2 linked regions of the Oreochromis niloticus genome follow. The protein of the gene in region 1 interacts with the protein of each later gene in a pairwise test. Links are inferred from orthologs where the notes say so. Each region holds a gene or a part of one and is shown on either strand. Other genes may lie near its edges.

The links.
Region 2: the proteins of zbtb10 (region 1) and mob3c interact in binary tests that used the Homo sapiens proteins (3 or more experiments, as listed by UniProt). The link is inferred for Oreochromis niloticus from reciprocal best matches to the Homo sapiens genes ZBTB10 and MOB3C.

Annotation. Positions count from the first base shown.
Region 1 is NC_031985.2:20,709,360-20,717,269, forward strand, and holds the start of zbtb10 (zinc finger and BTB domain-containing protein 10), read left to right. Parts: upstream 1-4,702; 5' UTR 4,703-4,983; coding exon 4,984-5,655; intron 5,656-7,910. UniProt on the Homo sapiens protein: May be involved in transcriptional regulation.
Region 2 is NC_031986.2:43,323,334-43,331,724, forward strand, and holds the start of mob3c (MOB kinase activator 3C), read right to left. Parts: upstream 3,470-8,391; 5' UTR 3,150-3,469; intron 2,860-3,149; exon of another isoform or gene 2,728-2,859; intron 1,534-2,727; 5' UTR 1,338-1,533; coding exon 920-1,337; intron 84-919; coding exon 1-83. UniProt on the Homo sapiens protein: May regulate the activity of kinases.

The DNA of each region.
Region 1 (7,910 bases):
CACACAATCAGGGGAGAGCAGACTCCTTTGAGAGGCACCAGTCCGAGCACTCTCCAAACCTTGGTCCTGCAAAAACCTGTTCACCAAGTTATTTGCAAATGCTTTACCCGAATTACTGACAAAGGATTGAAGCATCTAACCTATGAAACGCTCCCTTAAAATAAATAAAATAAATACATAAATAAATAACGTAAAGGGAGCTTATTGTATTGGAGCAAGCAAATACTTGTCACTGAGCGGCCTGAACTTCCACGAGGAGGATGCAGGTACAGATGATAGTAAAATACAGCTACCATACCAAAAGTCTGACCTTGAAATGAACTTGGCTGCCTGTACAGCAGTGTGACTATAAATTCAGAGAGCACAGCAGTTCCTATGATGATATTTAAGGTGATAAAATTACATCTAGAGAGGCAGATCATTTACTTTTGCTGCCTAGAGAGGTAAACAGACACCACCTCAAGGCTGCAGTAAAGCTAGAGATTGGCAAAGAGGTTCCCCTTTATCTGATAACTACGCAATTTCACTTTCTTGTGATTACTTGTGCTACAGGCCCGTTTTACTGTGATTTTGATGAACAATAGCCTGTAGTGCAAGTGTGTTTCGGCCTTAAAAGAAATCTGGCATTTGCCTTTTTTCAAACTGTGTTTTTTTAAGGTCACATACAACAACTTATAAAACCACTAAAAGACAAGTTATCTACTGGTGCATCCGCTGCACGCACACAGTGAAAAAACATGTCATGTGGGAAGGGAAAACCCTCCAAAGCATACCACAAGAAACCTTTACAAGCAAAGAGAACCCAGATCAAACAGTCACTAAGGTACCATTTACTTAAGGATGTGTTCAGGACCTGCAGCTCTAACCCAGGAATGGGCTTCACGAGCGTGGCATTTAAAGCCAAGTAAAGCATTCTTTTCTATCGTGTCCACTGGCAGCAACACAGAAAGTGATGGAGAAACAAACCTCATTTCTTCTGATATGGAGAAGCACAAATTATCAACCAGGAACCAGTTACATCAATAATTCTGGTGTTCATACGCAACGTTTCTTCTGGCTTTCTCTCTCTACGTTATTAAAAAGGGAAGAAGAAGAAAACACAAAACAATTTTCAACCATCAGGAAATTACCTTTGAGAGCCCAGGGGAGGGTGAAGGCTGTTTGTGCTTCAGGGAAATTTGGTCAAAAATTCTAACATGACATTTTAAATGAACAAATAAAACTCAAATGCTTTGCTTCTTTCCACAAGCACTTTAGTGCAAATGAAGTAGAATAAAATAATACAAAGATCAGAGAAGAATGGATCATGCTGTTTACAAGTAAAATCACAAAAAGTTGGACATACAAGCTTTTTTGTGTGCAAATCTCCACTTTTCTGTACTATAGCAGAGACATATGGACTTGAGACAGGAGCAGTTGTGTTTAAGTACATAAGAGAGCAGAACAGCTGCTTGATAGGAAAGCAAACGTGCAGGAAGAGGAACGAGGTGAAAGACAGAAATGCAGGTAGAAGACACTCAGGATACCTGTGGTTAACTGAACTGTGCTGTAGTTTGGCACGAGAAAAATCAGTAAAACCCACAACTCACAACCACTTTGGCACAGAATAGGAGTTCGTAAATTTCAAAATAAAACTCTTTTTTTTTTTTCAGTGTAAAAAAACATTTGAAAGAGCATAAGAGCACAGCGTGACTTGTCTAAACTAGTTATAGCAGTGAGCTGTCAAACAGGTGTAACCCATTCTTACAGGCTAAGCCGTCGGTTACAAAATATATTGTTGACTAATGTTTTACTCCTTTTTTCACTGCCTGTCAAAGTTTTTAACTCCCCCCAAAACTGAAAATGTGCGTTTATGGTTTCACCTAAAAAGTTAATGGGTGGTTTACATGCTGGGGAAAAAAAACAAATTGTGGTGTGACACCGCACTTCCGTGTCATTTTTCTAGAAATCTCTTGCACTGGTGCTGCTGAAAAAGTTATTTTCTTCTAATTCTTTCTTCTAATTCTTCACACTGTTGTCCTTCGCAAAAATAACTCACTTTATTCGTATAGCGAGAGGTAGCATATGCTCTCAACGAACTAACTCGAGTCACAGCACAAAGTTAGCTAGTCCGCTAACTTTTCTCTAAGGAAAAAGTAGTTTTAAAACATCTATTACAACACTGGCACACGTCGATAATTTAATTACCTTTGTCTGCATCCTCCATTGTCTGTCCAAAGCGTTGTTTCTCGTCGATTTCTACTCAGGGTCCGCAGGTTGTTCACTTTCCTGCTGTGGGTCTTCCTGTTCTCTGCCTCATGTTGCCAGGCAGCCCGCCGTGCGGGGTGGGGTTCGCCGTGACGTCAGCACGCAGCAGTGTAAACAGAAGCAAGCACGTGGATCAAGTTTTAGCCCAACAACAATGCAAAGCTGCGCAACAAGGACACGTCATTATTTGTATTTCTGTTTTTTGGGGTTTTTTTTTTTTTTTACTGTACAACAAGAATATGTATATGTATATGTAAAATTTATATGTATCTGCAATAGTGTAGTAGTATATATATATGTTGTTTTATTTTTCTTAAGATAACCTTTATTAGTCCCACACGTGGGAAATTTGTTTTGTCACAGCAGGAAGTGGACAGTGCAAAAGTTATGAAGCAAAAATTAGAATAAAATAAAATAAGAATAAATACAGTACACAACTGTACAGAATAGAATAAAATAAAATACTATATACAGTAGAATAAAATAGAATAAAATATACAATAAGATAAAAATAGAATACAAATGCTATATACAACTGAGTAAAAATACAACGATGCCAGAAAAGATTATTGCACATTAGTCTTATTGCACATGTGTGGATGTGTGTGTTTGATCAGCTGCAAAAGTCTTTATTGTGGAGTCTGACAGCAGTGGGGAGGAAAGACCTGCGAAATCTCTCCGTCCCACACCGTGGGTGCCGCAGTCTCCCACTGAAGGAGCTGCTCAGTGCTGTCACAGTCTCATGCATGGGGTGGGAGATGTTGTCCAACAGGGATGACAGCTTAGCCGCCATTCTCCTGTCACTCACCACCTCCACTGGGTCCAGAGGGCATCCTAGAACAGAGCTGGCCCTTCGGATCAGCCTTACAGATAAATACGAGGAAAACTATGACACATGCAAACCTGTTGCTTCTGGTGCCAGTGACAGGCGGCGACAGCTAAATTAGTTTAAAGAAAAGCCAGTTAAATCAGGCTTTTAAATCATTATAATTTTATTTTTAATACTAATAGTGAGGAAAATACTGCTGCTCCACCTCATGTAATTCCAGCATATACAGGAAGAATGAAATTATATTGATATCAATATCACTTTTTATCATGGCTGCCTTAAATATTAGTTTCTATTTCCTTTTTGTTTTTCTTCTTTTTTAGAGTTACATATATGTATATATATATATATACACACACATATATATATATTCGGCTAAATATCGTTTTGAACATATCTTTCTTAAGCTCAAACTAACCTCCATTTACAGTCAAGTCAACTCAAGATATTTCTAATTTTAAAAATACAGCCAGTCATTACTCTGCTGAGACTGCCACCTGCAAGGCCTGCTGTTCATTTGATGCGAGATGACATACTGCACTTTAGTATGACAGAATCGAAGGAATTTCAGTTATTTTTCCTTTTAGTTCCATTATATTTTTTTAATTTTCCAGCTGATAGCTTGTACGAGCTAGATGAATAAACACACACACTAGCCATACAAAAAATTCCTTGTCTTCTTCTTGGGAATTTACCCACTCCTGTGGGATATACAATCCTCCACGTTATTGTCATCCAAACCCGGGTTAATTCCCACTCTTGTTCACACGCTGTGTGTGCAAAGCTCTTAATTGGGAAGCAATGAAACTATACACCAAGCAATGTGACACACAGAGGGTGAGAAAAGACGCTCAGATGAAAGAGTGCCACCTACTGGATCTCGTTTTGATCACAAGGAGCGGGAGACGAGCAGATAAGGGAGAATACAAGGCTGGAGTCTCCAGAGAATGACACTTCGGGTCCAAACGTATTACGTGACTTTATTTCAGATACACGCGTTTCAAAATATATATACAAAATCTCAGTTAATGAATAAAACCTTTGTTTTAGGGTTCAACATGCACCAACAAACTCAACAAAGGGGGTCTGGGAAAACCCCCCCACAAATGCAAATATACTTCGAGCACATACAAAATATAAGGCACCATTCTTACACACACCACATAAAGCTCAGGGGTAATATTGTGGTGTTGAATGTCGAATATCGACTTAATATTATTGTAGTGTAAGCAATTGTGTTTGGAATAAATATCTCGGTTAACATGCTTTTATGTATATTTATTGGCCCCACTTCTTCATATTCAAATGCCAACCTTTATTTATTTTTTTATTTATAATACATATATTCACTATAATAAAAAGTAAATAAATGAATAATATAAAAAAGACACCCGACAAGTTTCCTACTGCAGACATTCATGAATGTTGGGACACCCCGCCGTGAGGAATGTGATTTGACATTTGCGGTCTAATAAAACAAACAGACATCAGATGAAAAGCATGCGGAAAATGGGTGCTTTTTTTTAAGCACAAAAGACCCCATGCTGATCTACACCCCCCTCATCATCTTCCTTTAAAAAGCCACCCCCACCACCACTACCACCAACACGTCCCCTCCCCCCCGCCCCCCTCTGGACGAGGTGCATTGTGGGGAGGAAAGTCGTTGCCATTCGACCTCTGCGGGGCCTGCGCGGACGCAGCGAGAACCCTGAAATTCATTATGCGTTTAAAACCTTTATTTATTTCCGCATAACCTACATACTCTCACCGGGAGGGCCGAGCGGAGCGCAGAAACGACGACGGTCCATCTCTTTCGGGAAACACATCGGTTATAAACACAGCATTTTAATCGGAGGAGGGGGATACTGTTGAGAAAGTGAAGATTCTAACGTATATTAAGAAAAAAAATGTCCGGTGAGAGAAACCGCAGGTCGCTGGCTTTCCGAGGAGGTGGATTAGCTGGGTTAACGGGTTCCAGTGGTATCGGTGGGGGGAACTGTAACAGCTGGGAGGCCCCGGCCTGTCAAGATCGACATTTTAACGGGAACAGGCCGGATCAAGAGGAGGACAGGGATCTGGGGGCGAAAGGACCGTCGCAGAAGAGAGTGGAGGGCGCTGGATCTGTCAGCGATAGCACGGAACCCGAGGCGGAGGAAGAAGAGGACCCGGAAGGGGGCAGTCGGGCAGCTGGGGACGGCGACGATCGTGTCGACTCGGTGGAAGCGGAGGACGGGTCCGGGGACGGGAAAAGCTGGGTTGCGGGGAACGGTCACAACAACAGCGCCGACGGCCAGGAGACTGCCAGGGGAGGGATCGAGACGGGATCCAGGAAATCTGGGGTAGAGATGAGACCGCAGACGCTGCTTCAGAAACACTCGCTTTTCCACGCTTCGTGGTTGCAAGAATTTCCATGGCTCAAATTTTGCCAGGAGACTGGACTCATGTCCTGCTCCTGGTGTCACAACATTGCCACTAAAAACAGCGACGAGCTCGTCAAAGGCAGTCGCAACTACAAGAGGGCCTTGCTGCTGAGACATCACCTGTCTTCTGAGCACGGGAGAAACGATCCCACCAAACAGGTAACGTTAGCCCAACTCCACGACGCTTTCGTTTAGTTAACTACGTAACGTGAAATACCTGTCACCGTCGGCATACCTTAATGTCATTACCTGTTTCCCTTTTCTGTCGCACGTAATAGAAGTTACTTCAAATTGTAAAGCGCAGCCTGGGAGGAAAATGAGCTTTTACCTAAGCTTCACAATCCCTTCTCCCGGCTAATTAGTTAGCATCGGTGTGCGCTAACGACCACAGCTAATGTCTAGCCTAGCTTCACAGCCGCCCGTGGCTTTACTGTTTAGCCGGAGGTAGGTGACCAGTTGCGGTATTGGAAAGCCCCTGTAGCGAAGCTAAGGGGTGACAGAGTGGAAAAACAGAATCACTTCAAAATATATTGTACTATGCAAGTTACTGTTGTGTGCCCACTCACCGGGCAAGTTAAAGACCTGCTCCAGTTTGACACCTGCTAGCTAATATCGCCCCGGAGGCTGTTTGTTGTCAAGTGACCGGACTAATTGCGTGTCACAATTAACTGCTAATCACTGATAACTGACGAAAAGGAATGGATAAATATCGGACAGTGCAGGTGTTGTGGAGCAGTTTGAGATGTTCACCGTACACCGCAGCTAGTCCTTTCACCAGCAGCAGTCTTGATCGCTAGCTTGCTAGAGGTCGCACAATGGCAAGGGCTCGACCCTGGCAGCCTTCGGGGAACCGCACCCCTTACCCAACCCCCCGCCTCTCATGCAGCTCTGCTGCCTCTCTGTCCCGGGTGACCTCTGGCGCATTTCTTCCTCCTCCACCTCCGCCTCCCTTTAGGGAGCTAAATTAGAGGCATTGTGCGAGAATGACCCCCCAAAATCCATAGATGGTGTCACTTGCAGTGCTGGACAAGGAGGGGAGAGTAAATCAGGTTGCCCTGAGCGTGACATCTTGCTTGCCCAGAGGCAGCGTTTGAATAGGTTTGAAAGAGTGAAAATAGATGTCAGTGATAGGATGACACAGCATCACCTGAGCCTGTCATCCATATTTCTGGATTATTGGGCTCTGGCTATAACTTTGGGGCATATCTTATGATTAAAGGCTTATCCTGTTTGCAGAGGACTGAAACCACGGGTCATACTTACAGGAAATGACTCCACTTTATTTAATAGGCACATAAAGAGTGTGTAGTTAGCTAAAGCTCGATGTAGGTATAAAGTTATTGGGTATCCATATCAGTTTCTTGAATGCCTTTTTTAATTCAAAACACTCACATCGTTATTACATGTGAACTCCCTTTATTGATGTCCATGAGATGTTTTTATTGCTTCATCATTTTTTATTGCGGTTTAAGCAACACTTCTACAATACTCTTTTAGTGACCTCATAAAAACAGGGAGGGCAGATTTGTCTGTACAGTTCGGTGTCAAAGGACATTTTTCCCATTAGTCCTACAGTATGGGGGGGGGAGAGAGCTCAGTTCCTTTTTAAATTGCCACATCCTACCTCATATTCAGAGAATGGTTTGAGCTGTCACGAGAATTAAGAGCGGGGTGCTATTCGTCTGTGATTTGTGAGTGAAGAGGATTGTACTACTACATTTAGTTCCTTCCTTTGTACACGCAATCACTAATCAGAATGACTTAAAGTGATCCACTAACTTGTACACATCTCTAATTGGCAAGGAGAGCACTAGGAGTGGATTAGGGGCTTGGTGAGGCTTTTCCCTAGCAACAAGGACCCCAGACGCTGTCTTGAGAGGTTTTTCAGGCCATTTCCTGATAGATGGTTAGAGCTGAGTAGATAACGTCCCAATGCTGTATTATTAGAAAAGATTGAATTAAAGCTTAAAGCCTTCTTTCCTTTTTTTCCGAAGTACTTATCTTTTGTTTTTATGCTTCCTCAACTTGGACTGCCTTTTTAAAGTAAACAAAACAGCAAACACAGTACTGCTGAAATAATAGGCAACAGTGTAAGCAAGACAGCATTATGAAGCAGTACATTAAAGGGGAACTACGGTGTTATGAGGCAACGTCTTGTTCTATTCACCCATTCCTGATGTTAGTCAGGCCTCTGCTGCATTTGTTAAAGCTAATTCAATTATCTGTAGCACACCAGGGCAGCTGTGGTAAATGTGGGTATCCTTGGAGAAGGGGGCCGTTGTCCTTAATTCTCTAGATGCTGTCTTATGCTCAGATTGTTCCCTGTGCTCACTAGAGGAAAAAAAAAGGGTAAATGGAGGCAAAAGGAGACGAGGTTTTCTGAGATCAGATATGAAGTCACATATGTACGACCA
Region 2 (8,391 bases), on another chromosome or scaffold:
GATGTAAACGTGCACAAACACCCGGAAGAGACGGCTCAGGATCTTCTTGCACACCTGCTGGAAGTTCTTGGGGAAAGGTACTCCTAGGATGAAGAAGGAAAACAATAAGAAATAAAAGGACTTCTATTCAGAAGCTGGTTTAATAAAATAATAGATTTGGTAAAGGAAACTGTAGGACTCAATTGTAAATGGATTTACCATGCATGCAGATTTAAAGTGCATTATTAATCATGCTTATCTACAATAGGGCTATTAATCTACCTCATTTCCTAAATAATCTATTGAGTAGTTTGTGTTTCAATTCCAAAAGACCTTATAAAAATATCTGTGTTTTGTGCTGAAGAGCTGAAAAGGCCCCGTGAAGAACAATCTAATTATTCGTATTTAATTTCTAAGCAAAGGTGCAGCGAAGACAGTATTGCTGTCTTATTCTCCCTCAGGTCCATGGGGGATTGTGATAACTGAGCAAAGGGAGGGACAGAAACACCCTGAAGGAGTTGTCAAGCACTAACAGACAACCAAAACCCATTCACACTCGTGGGAAATGTTGAGTTTTCATCATACCTGACTAGCATGTCTAGGCTTGATATAAGAAAAGAGAAGTCCCAGAATGTCAGTGCTAACCACTGCGCCACAGAGAGGCTCTGAGCTCACGCTGCTGTGACGCATGAAGTTCTCACCTCTAATTTAACACTATGATCACCTAGTCAACAATCCCCTCTAAATGTCAACATTTTATTGTCTAATTAACCTCTCCTTGAACTCAATCATTGCATTTGAGAGCTTAATGAAGGAGAGCACCTCTGCACTCTGTGCTGACACTTTAATATAAAATCTCTGCAGCCAACACTCAGTCATGTATTAGCTTACGCACTCAAGAGCAGTCCGATGGTTTCATTTGTAAACTCCTCACACACACCTACTCTTGTGGGGAAGATTTCCTCATTATTGATTAGTGACTCTATCCAGTCCATCAGCAGATTCATGTACTTGAGAGCAGGCAGCTTGGTGGGTCTCTTGTAGTCTTTACCATCCTGCCATCTGTACTCATACCTCAGTCCCCCAGACATGATAGGGCACGTGCGCTCGCTGCAGTACTCGCTCACTGTGCCATAGATTAGGTTAATTCTGTTAAAGAAATCCACCACGTGAACAGCAATCCAGTCATTGAGGTTCTCGCCTTCTGGGAGCTGAACTACTTTCCTCAGGTCCAAGCCAGATTTGAGCGAAGCCTGGGCCTTCTTGTACAGTTCAAACCGCTGCGTACCGGGCTCAAAGCGCTTCTTTGGCCTAAATGTTTTGTCTTTGCTAAACACTTGACCAAGACACAATGCCATTGACTCAGTTATTTCCCCTGAGATAAGGGGAGAATGCGCAACGGTGAAAAATAGTTAGGTTGGAGTATGAGAACGTGTAGCCTTCCTGGGAGAGGGGAACCGGTCGGATTTCAGCTCTTGGAATCAGGTCACAGGTGGTCAGCGACTGTCGTGTAAAGACTGCAAGGAGTTCTTGTTTTCATTTGGTGCGATGACACTGTGAAGATAATAACAGGCATGTTAAACCTTATGTGGTCATTTTGGGGTGAATAAAACATAAAAGGTAAAAAAATTCATGCAATATTCAATGACAACAATTGTTATAGCTACCATAAAGTAAAAACAAAAACAAAAAAACCCTACATTTTCCTAAAGAAGACCAGCTAAAATGTTTTTTTATAGTCACAGCTGCTCTTTGTGAACCAAATGACCTTAAAGCAAAGTTTTCAGTTGCAGCTATCAGTAAAAATAGCAACATTTTCAGTCTGCTGTACCAAAAGTCAGGCCACTTGAGTCAGGCGTAACTGGGAAAATGATTGGTATGTTGTGATCCACTAAAGATTAAACTGTGAGAGAAAATGTCCTGAGTGAAATAGTTTTAATGCTCTTAAAGGCAGAACTAGGACTTTAATTTTTCTTTTTTTTGTGGGGGGGTGGGGGGTGCACTAAATATAGATAGAAAACTGCCCATTCTTGTTTGACAAAGTGGATATGAAACTAAATTAAAAGTTTAGGGATATTTTTTGTGCAAAGCTATTGTCCATCTGCCTGGTGATTTGCTTGTATTGGGAGCATGACTTCACAGGTTTTAAATGTCATGGTAATGAAGCAGTAATGATTGCGTATTTTATTTGATATAATATTAACTTGGAGGATTTATTTTAAAGCAAGAAGATGGACGGTTACATTTTACAGTCTCAAATATATTTTTTAAACGCGTTAATGTGGCAAAACTGAATTGAATTGTACATTTCTATTCACCGTTTGAAGGATGTGGGAAGAATGTCCAGAGATCTGACACCTAGATTAAAGCAGCTGTGATTGCAACACATGATACTGCAGCCGCATTGTGTCCTGAGTCCCATTTTTAACTGCCGTATTCAGAATTTCCCACGGTTGTAACTGAGGCTCTGGTGACTTGAATTAGCAGATGTTTCTGTCACTTCATGCCAGTCTGTACTCCCATCACGTGATATTGATATGGGTGTTGTTATCTTTCTATTAACAAAATAACCTAAAAAATCACAACCCACAGGCCTCTCACATGTTTGTAAAGCTTTTGGAGGACTTGGGTCCCTCCTGTCTTAATCTGAGGAAAAGGCAATGGCTAGAAATAAAAACAGATGTGATCATATCCATTGGCTCTTTCCACTAGCTTTCATAGTTTGCCTGATCTCAGTTCAAAACTCACCACTGGGGGAACTTGAATACGTGGTCAGTAGATAGCTCTGAATATGTCCATAACAAACAAGAGTTAGACAGAGCTTCATTCACTCCTAAACTCTGAGAGACACTGGTTCAGTTAAAGCTTCATCTCGGAAATCTTTGGGATACGAAAACAGTTATGATTTATACAGAAAGTGACAGTATGAAGGAGGAAGTGACCGTTGACCAATTTCTGTCCCTACTTGCCTCAGCAGTCACACTGAAGCATGTTAGAGCATGTAATGTCGCATGCATGCTTCTTTTTCTTCTTTTTCTACCAATTTTCCATCAGACACTGCAATTTCTTGAAAGTCTTTCATTTCGTGGTGCAGCAGCAACAAGAAACAAATTGTCAGTGGGAAAGCAAAACAAGACATTACAGAATGGAAAAATCTCTGTGCACTGTACCTGGCCGAAATCCTGCAGCGGAGTGTTTGGAATGTGGTGGAGAGTTGTGGGAAGTTCAGGGAGGATTCGAGTGTCTGGATCCTTTGATTCTAAACTCCCTGTGAAAGCCTGCTTCAGTGACTCTGCCCCCTCTAGGTCCTCTGAATTTTCTCTCTGCTAGTTGCTAACGGTCTTAAGGGGCTCCAACTTCCCTCAGGAAAACAGACAACACACTAAAAGAGAAAAAAAAAGTATTTGCCTTCTCTTCCTGTAGGTGATGTCACTTCCTGACTTTGTCTAGTAGGTTCTGCTATCTATGTGTGTGTGTCAGTATGTGGGTGGGTGTGTGGAGGACCTATAAACTGAAAGAGAAGAAGGGCTGAAAAAGGCCTTCCCCAAACACCGACTCTGCCCTCCCTCTTTTTCATTTTTTTTCTTTCTTGTCATTCTGTAGGCAAAGCAGCCAACCCTCTTATCCAACCAAAGCCCAGCCCTCTGGTAAAGGTCCTGAGAAAACATCCCTTCTCTTGAGCTACTTATAGGACACAGGGAAAAGAATAATCCCACAAACATTTCTGGATGCCTGGCAGTCCACGACCATGATGCCTGGCTATTTTTTATGAAGTCTCAATAACATATTATTTAAATTCTTTGCCTTTTAAAGAAGTTGCTTTGGAATTCAGTGCGTTCCCTACATGGAAAAACTGCTCTTTGAAAGACACAATTTCTCTTTAAAGGACTAAAAAAGCTCTGCATTCAAATCATGAACAAACAAGCCACGTGTGACTTTAACAGTCTAATTCCTTGTGACCTTAGAAGGTTACCTTTTTTGTGATAGCTGCTCTGTTTGTCTTGGGGAAAAATGGTGATACTAAAGTGCACAGGCTGTCTACACCATGCAAAAAGAAGCCGTCTATACTTTTTGTGAAATCATTCCCTCCCAGCTGATAAAAATGTATATGTTTGTGTGTCTATACCTACATATTAATCCATATATATGTGAAAATATATTGATATGTCTATTTGACCATACAGTCAAAACTTTACGGTGGGTGGGGAGTGGGGGAAGGTAGATCTAAATTGCAGTACTCCAACATATCCACCTGAGGTCAGCATGACTGTAATGATGGCGTGTGGCTGTGGATAACGAGAGGCTAGTCAGAGCTATCAGTCAGTTATCAGCAAGGGAAATTCCCTATTTACTGATGAGCAGCTGATTATCTTTTTAAATAACTAAATCATGATTACATGTCAGTTGATAAAAAAAGAACTGACAGGTGAGATTGTTTTTGTTGTTGTTGTTGGTATTTTAATGCCATACATTTAACAATAAAATATAAAGTCACTAAAATAAAACATAAGTTTACTGTAACATACATAAAGAAAGTACATGTAGGTTGGCCTTGGTTCATTTTCTAGGTTTGAAGATTAACTATAAAATATTAAGCTGCTCCAATAACTGAATGCGGCTGTGTAATGGTTAGCATTGTTTCCAATATTGTGAAAAGAAATGTCCATGTATTAAAGAATCAGCAACTTTCTGGCACATTTGAATTATCAGTGTATGCTTATTACATTTACATTATTATAGTTTATTTATTCAGCTGATCATTGTGTGTCAAATGACCAAAAGCATTCGAACAACTCGTTTATCTGGGTTATTCAAAAAGTATATTCATCAATATAAATAAATAATAAAGCAGAATGTTAAAGAGAAATAATTCAAACTCTGAAATGTATTTCCTTCCCTTAAGTTGAAGTAGATTCCGATGTAATGATTGTTTACAATGTTATTCATATTTTTTCCGTGACATACACAGAAAAGAATGGATGAATCAAGCAGGTGTGCATTTATGATTATTCCTGGCCCTTTGCTCTAGTTTTCCATGTCAGAGTGACTGTCATCATCCAGATATGTGACAGATGAGGAAGTTGAACCAGTCGGGCATTTCCTCACCTACCTCATACCATCACTTAGTGTAATGCTCTGCTATTATTCTCTTAAAAACACACCACCTTGAGCACCATATACTTTTCCACTCCTTGAATGTAGCAGGTAGATTTTCTTTAAAAAAAAAAAAAAAAAAGAACAATTTTTTCACATTTAACCTTTAAAAAAATTAAAGCAAAAATAAATGCCTTAAATGTATAAAACACACGATTTTGTAGAGTTACAGTTTAGTACAGCTGTTGGTGTGATGTATCTTGAACTATTGCTAGATAAACCTACATGCTCTGAGTTTGTGGTTAATATTAATCCAGTTTTAACAGCAGTATTTGTACACAGTGTCATCTGGTTAATTGCTTTCATCATGGAATTTCACTCATGTTGGCATGAAGTACTCTGTTGTTCTGGAGCTCAAAAGCGAAAAGTATTGTTTCAAATTAAACTGTACATTCAAGCAGACGTCATACATTTACAATATTATTCTCAAACATGGTCAAACATGAATTTTCACTGTTTTGGATTACTAACCCGCAGGGTCGAGAAGACCTTTTCAAATCCTTCAGAACTGTATAAACTCTGTTTATGTTTATGTCTCTTATACTGTATTTCTATGTTTCCACCTGCTGACTGTTTTGTAATGGTGTCCCTTCTTGGCCACATTCACCTTGAAAAAGAGATTTTAATCTCAAGTGACTTTCCGATTAAATAAAGGATGAGTTAAAAAAAAAATTAAACAATCCTAAATTAACAAACATGCACACATAAATGTTATAGTTATGGTTTTGACCATAACATTAATTTTATTGTTGTTTATTTATAATATTTTTTTAAGCTTTGCTCAATTTCTTCACTCTTGGAATTCATTACATAATTTGCTTTATGATGTTTTATATGATGATGTAATGTTGGCTTGTATGGACCCCACTAAGAACAAAGGTCATCAGTTCGTGACTACAGCTCTAGGCAAGGTGTTGAGCCTACTACAGGTGATTTGCAGGTTATTCATTACACCACAAGTAGAGCACATGTCTGATATGTGGTGTCATGGCTTGGCTGGAAGCCTACAGATCTTCCACAATGGTCATTATAGTTAAATCTCACCACCAGGACTCTGCTGCCCAGGAGATTTGAATGCATCTACTGTTTTCACTTTGAAAGGCCAGGAGTGTGTGACTGCTTTGGGCAAATAGAACCAGCTCAACTAAAAAAAAAAAAAAAACAAATAAAAAAAATTAAAAATCGAAATGTGTTACATAAACTGACACGTCTGGCCTTAGGAATGCACCACGTGTGTTTATGTAAAACACGTTGCTTCTACTTGTTTGACAGACAAGCCGACTTTTATCGCTTCTGTCCATCATGTTTTGTTGAATAGGAACACCAGCGTGTTATGCCACATGTTATATCCTGCAGTACACTTGGAAAAAAGTAAACACTGTTAAAGCAATAAAAGGCACAGTCGGGTTGGTGAACTGTGTTTCAGGCCTACTATATATGTGTAATTATTACATACGCACGAACTGCTTTTGGTGTGATCATTTGGGTAGCATATTGTAATTTTAGTTTTTCTCTAAAGATATGGCAACTTACTCTACATACTTTTATTCACATATGAAAGGAACCACACTGAGTCATTTCTGTGTGTCAGTCGTTTTTTTTACAGTTGTAACCAGTAGTAGTTACAAAGAGCAAAAAATGAGCTCTAAACTGTACAGAATTTACATTACAAACTGTTACAATGAAACATCTGTGACTGACCGCGGAATGGAGACGAAATGACATTTGATACACTAAGATGATTACGTCCATATTAAGCGACCGACTCACGCCAGTGTAAAGATGACTCCACCTTTTTCCGCCTCCATCAAAGGGTTGGGTCAGGAGGAAGATTTAAGCCGAGAGGAAGAGGAAGCACAGCTAACTACAGCCACGCTTTGCGTCTTATCTCCAGCATTCATTCGACAGACTCCACAGGTTTACTTCAGTAAAAGTGAGTAGCTTTTGGACATTGTTGTCAAACTGTTTAACAGTGAGTTAAATGTTGACTTAGTGAGTTACTTTAAGGTGCTGCAGTTTTTTTTTTCTCCCTCAGGGAGGTGGGGGCGGGGGTGGGGGCTAGATGTCAATTTAAACAATGTCAAATTCAAGGCTTTCATTTGTTGTTTGTCTTTAAAGGCTCTTTCTTTTCTTACGCCTACAGTAAAGTTTAAAAAACTAGAATTTTAGTGTATATAATCTTTTTTCTTTTTTTAAGAAAAAACAAAAACCGTCAAAGTTAGGCGTTACCCCTAACCAGATATCCGGTGTTGACTGGACTAAATGTTTGAGCTGGTCATGGTATCGCCTGTGCACCTGTGCTCCGGACAAAGGGGAACACCCTTCCCCACAGTGGGAAACCTATTGTTGTTCTGCACTTTGAAGGGGTTTGCTGTCAATTGCCATTTTGTAGCTGTCGTGCATCTAAAGGGAGACAATAAAGACAGCATATTAATGTGCGCACTGCAAGCTCCAAATGTGTTTCCGCGAGAAGTGAAATGTAGTTTACCTGCTGGTCAAATGTCACAACGGTTTCTAACGGTTAACGCTAAGCCAGAGCGACGCAAAAGCGCACACTCAGCTTTCTCCAGCTCAGAAACATACTCGCCTTTAACTAATCTGTCAGGTGAAACTGGTTACAAAGTCAAGTTGTTGCATATATGAAGGGGCAAAACGACAACAACCAAAAACAACTTTCACACCACTAGCAAAATTTAGATTCTCCAAAAAAGCCAAAACACTAAATGATGTGTGATCTCTTATAGTGGCGAGGCGGAGAACTACATCAAACATCACATCTGTTATGTAACATGTGATTGAGAAAGAGTGTGGATGTATTTTTAAGTGGTGTAACTTATGGATGTTAACATTACACAATAATAAGTGCATTTAATGTATGGAAAGTCTGACTATATGAGAAAGGGATGCCATGCATTTGTCTTCGTCAAAGATATGTAATGGCATTGGTATGCATTTGATTGCCCACAGTCTCTGCAGCCTCTGCATTATTTGAATTGCCACAATTTTCCACTGTTTAGCTGGAGAGATTACACTGATGCAAGAGCTAGTTTAGTTAAACAATTTAAGCTTTGTACAGTTTTGATTAGTTCATGAAAGTGTTTAAATACCCCCCCCAAACCTATGTATGTCCCTGTGAAAGTAGCCTTTGATGGTTTCCAAATTGTGTGCCAAGATAGATTATGGGCTACTAACTGAAAGTTACGACAAATGTTTACAATGTCAACAAACAATTGTGTGACTTAGACAAAAGACCTCAAG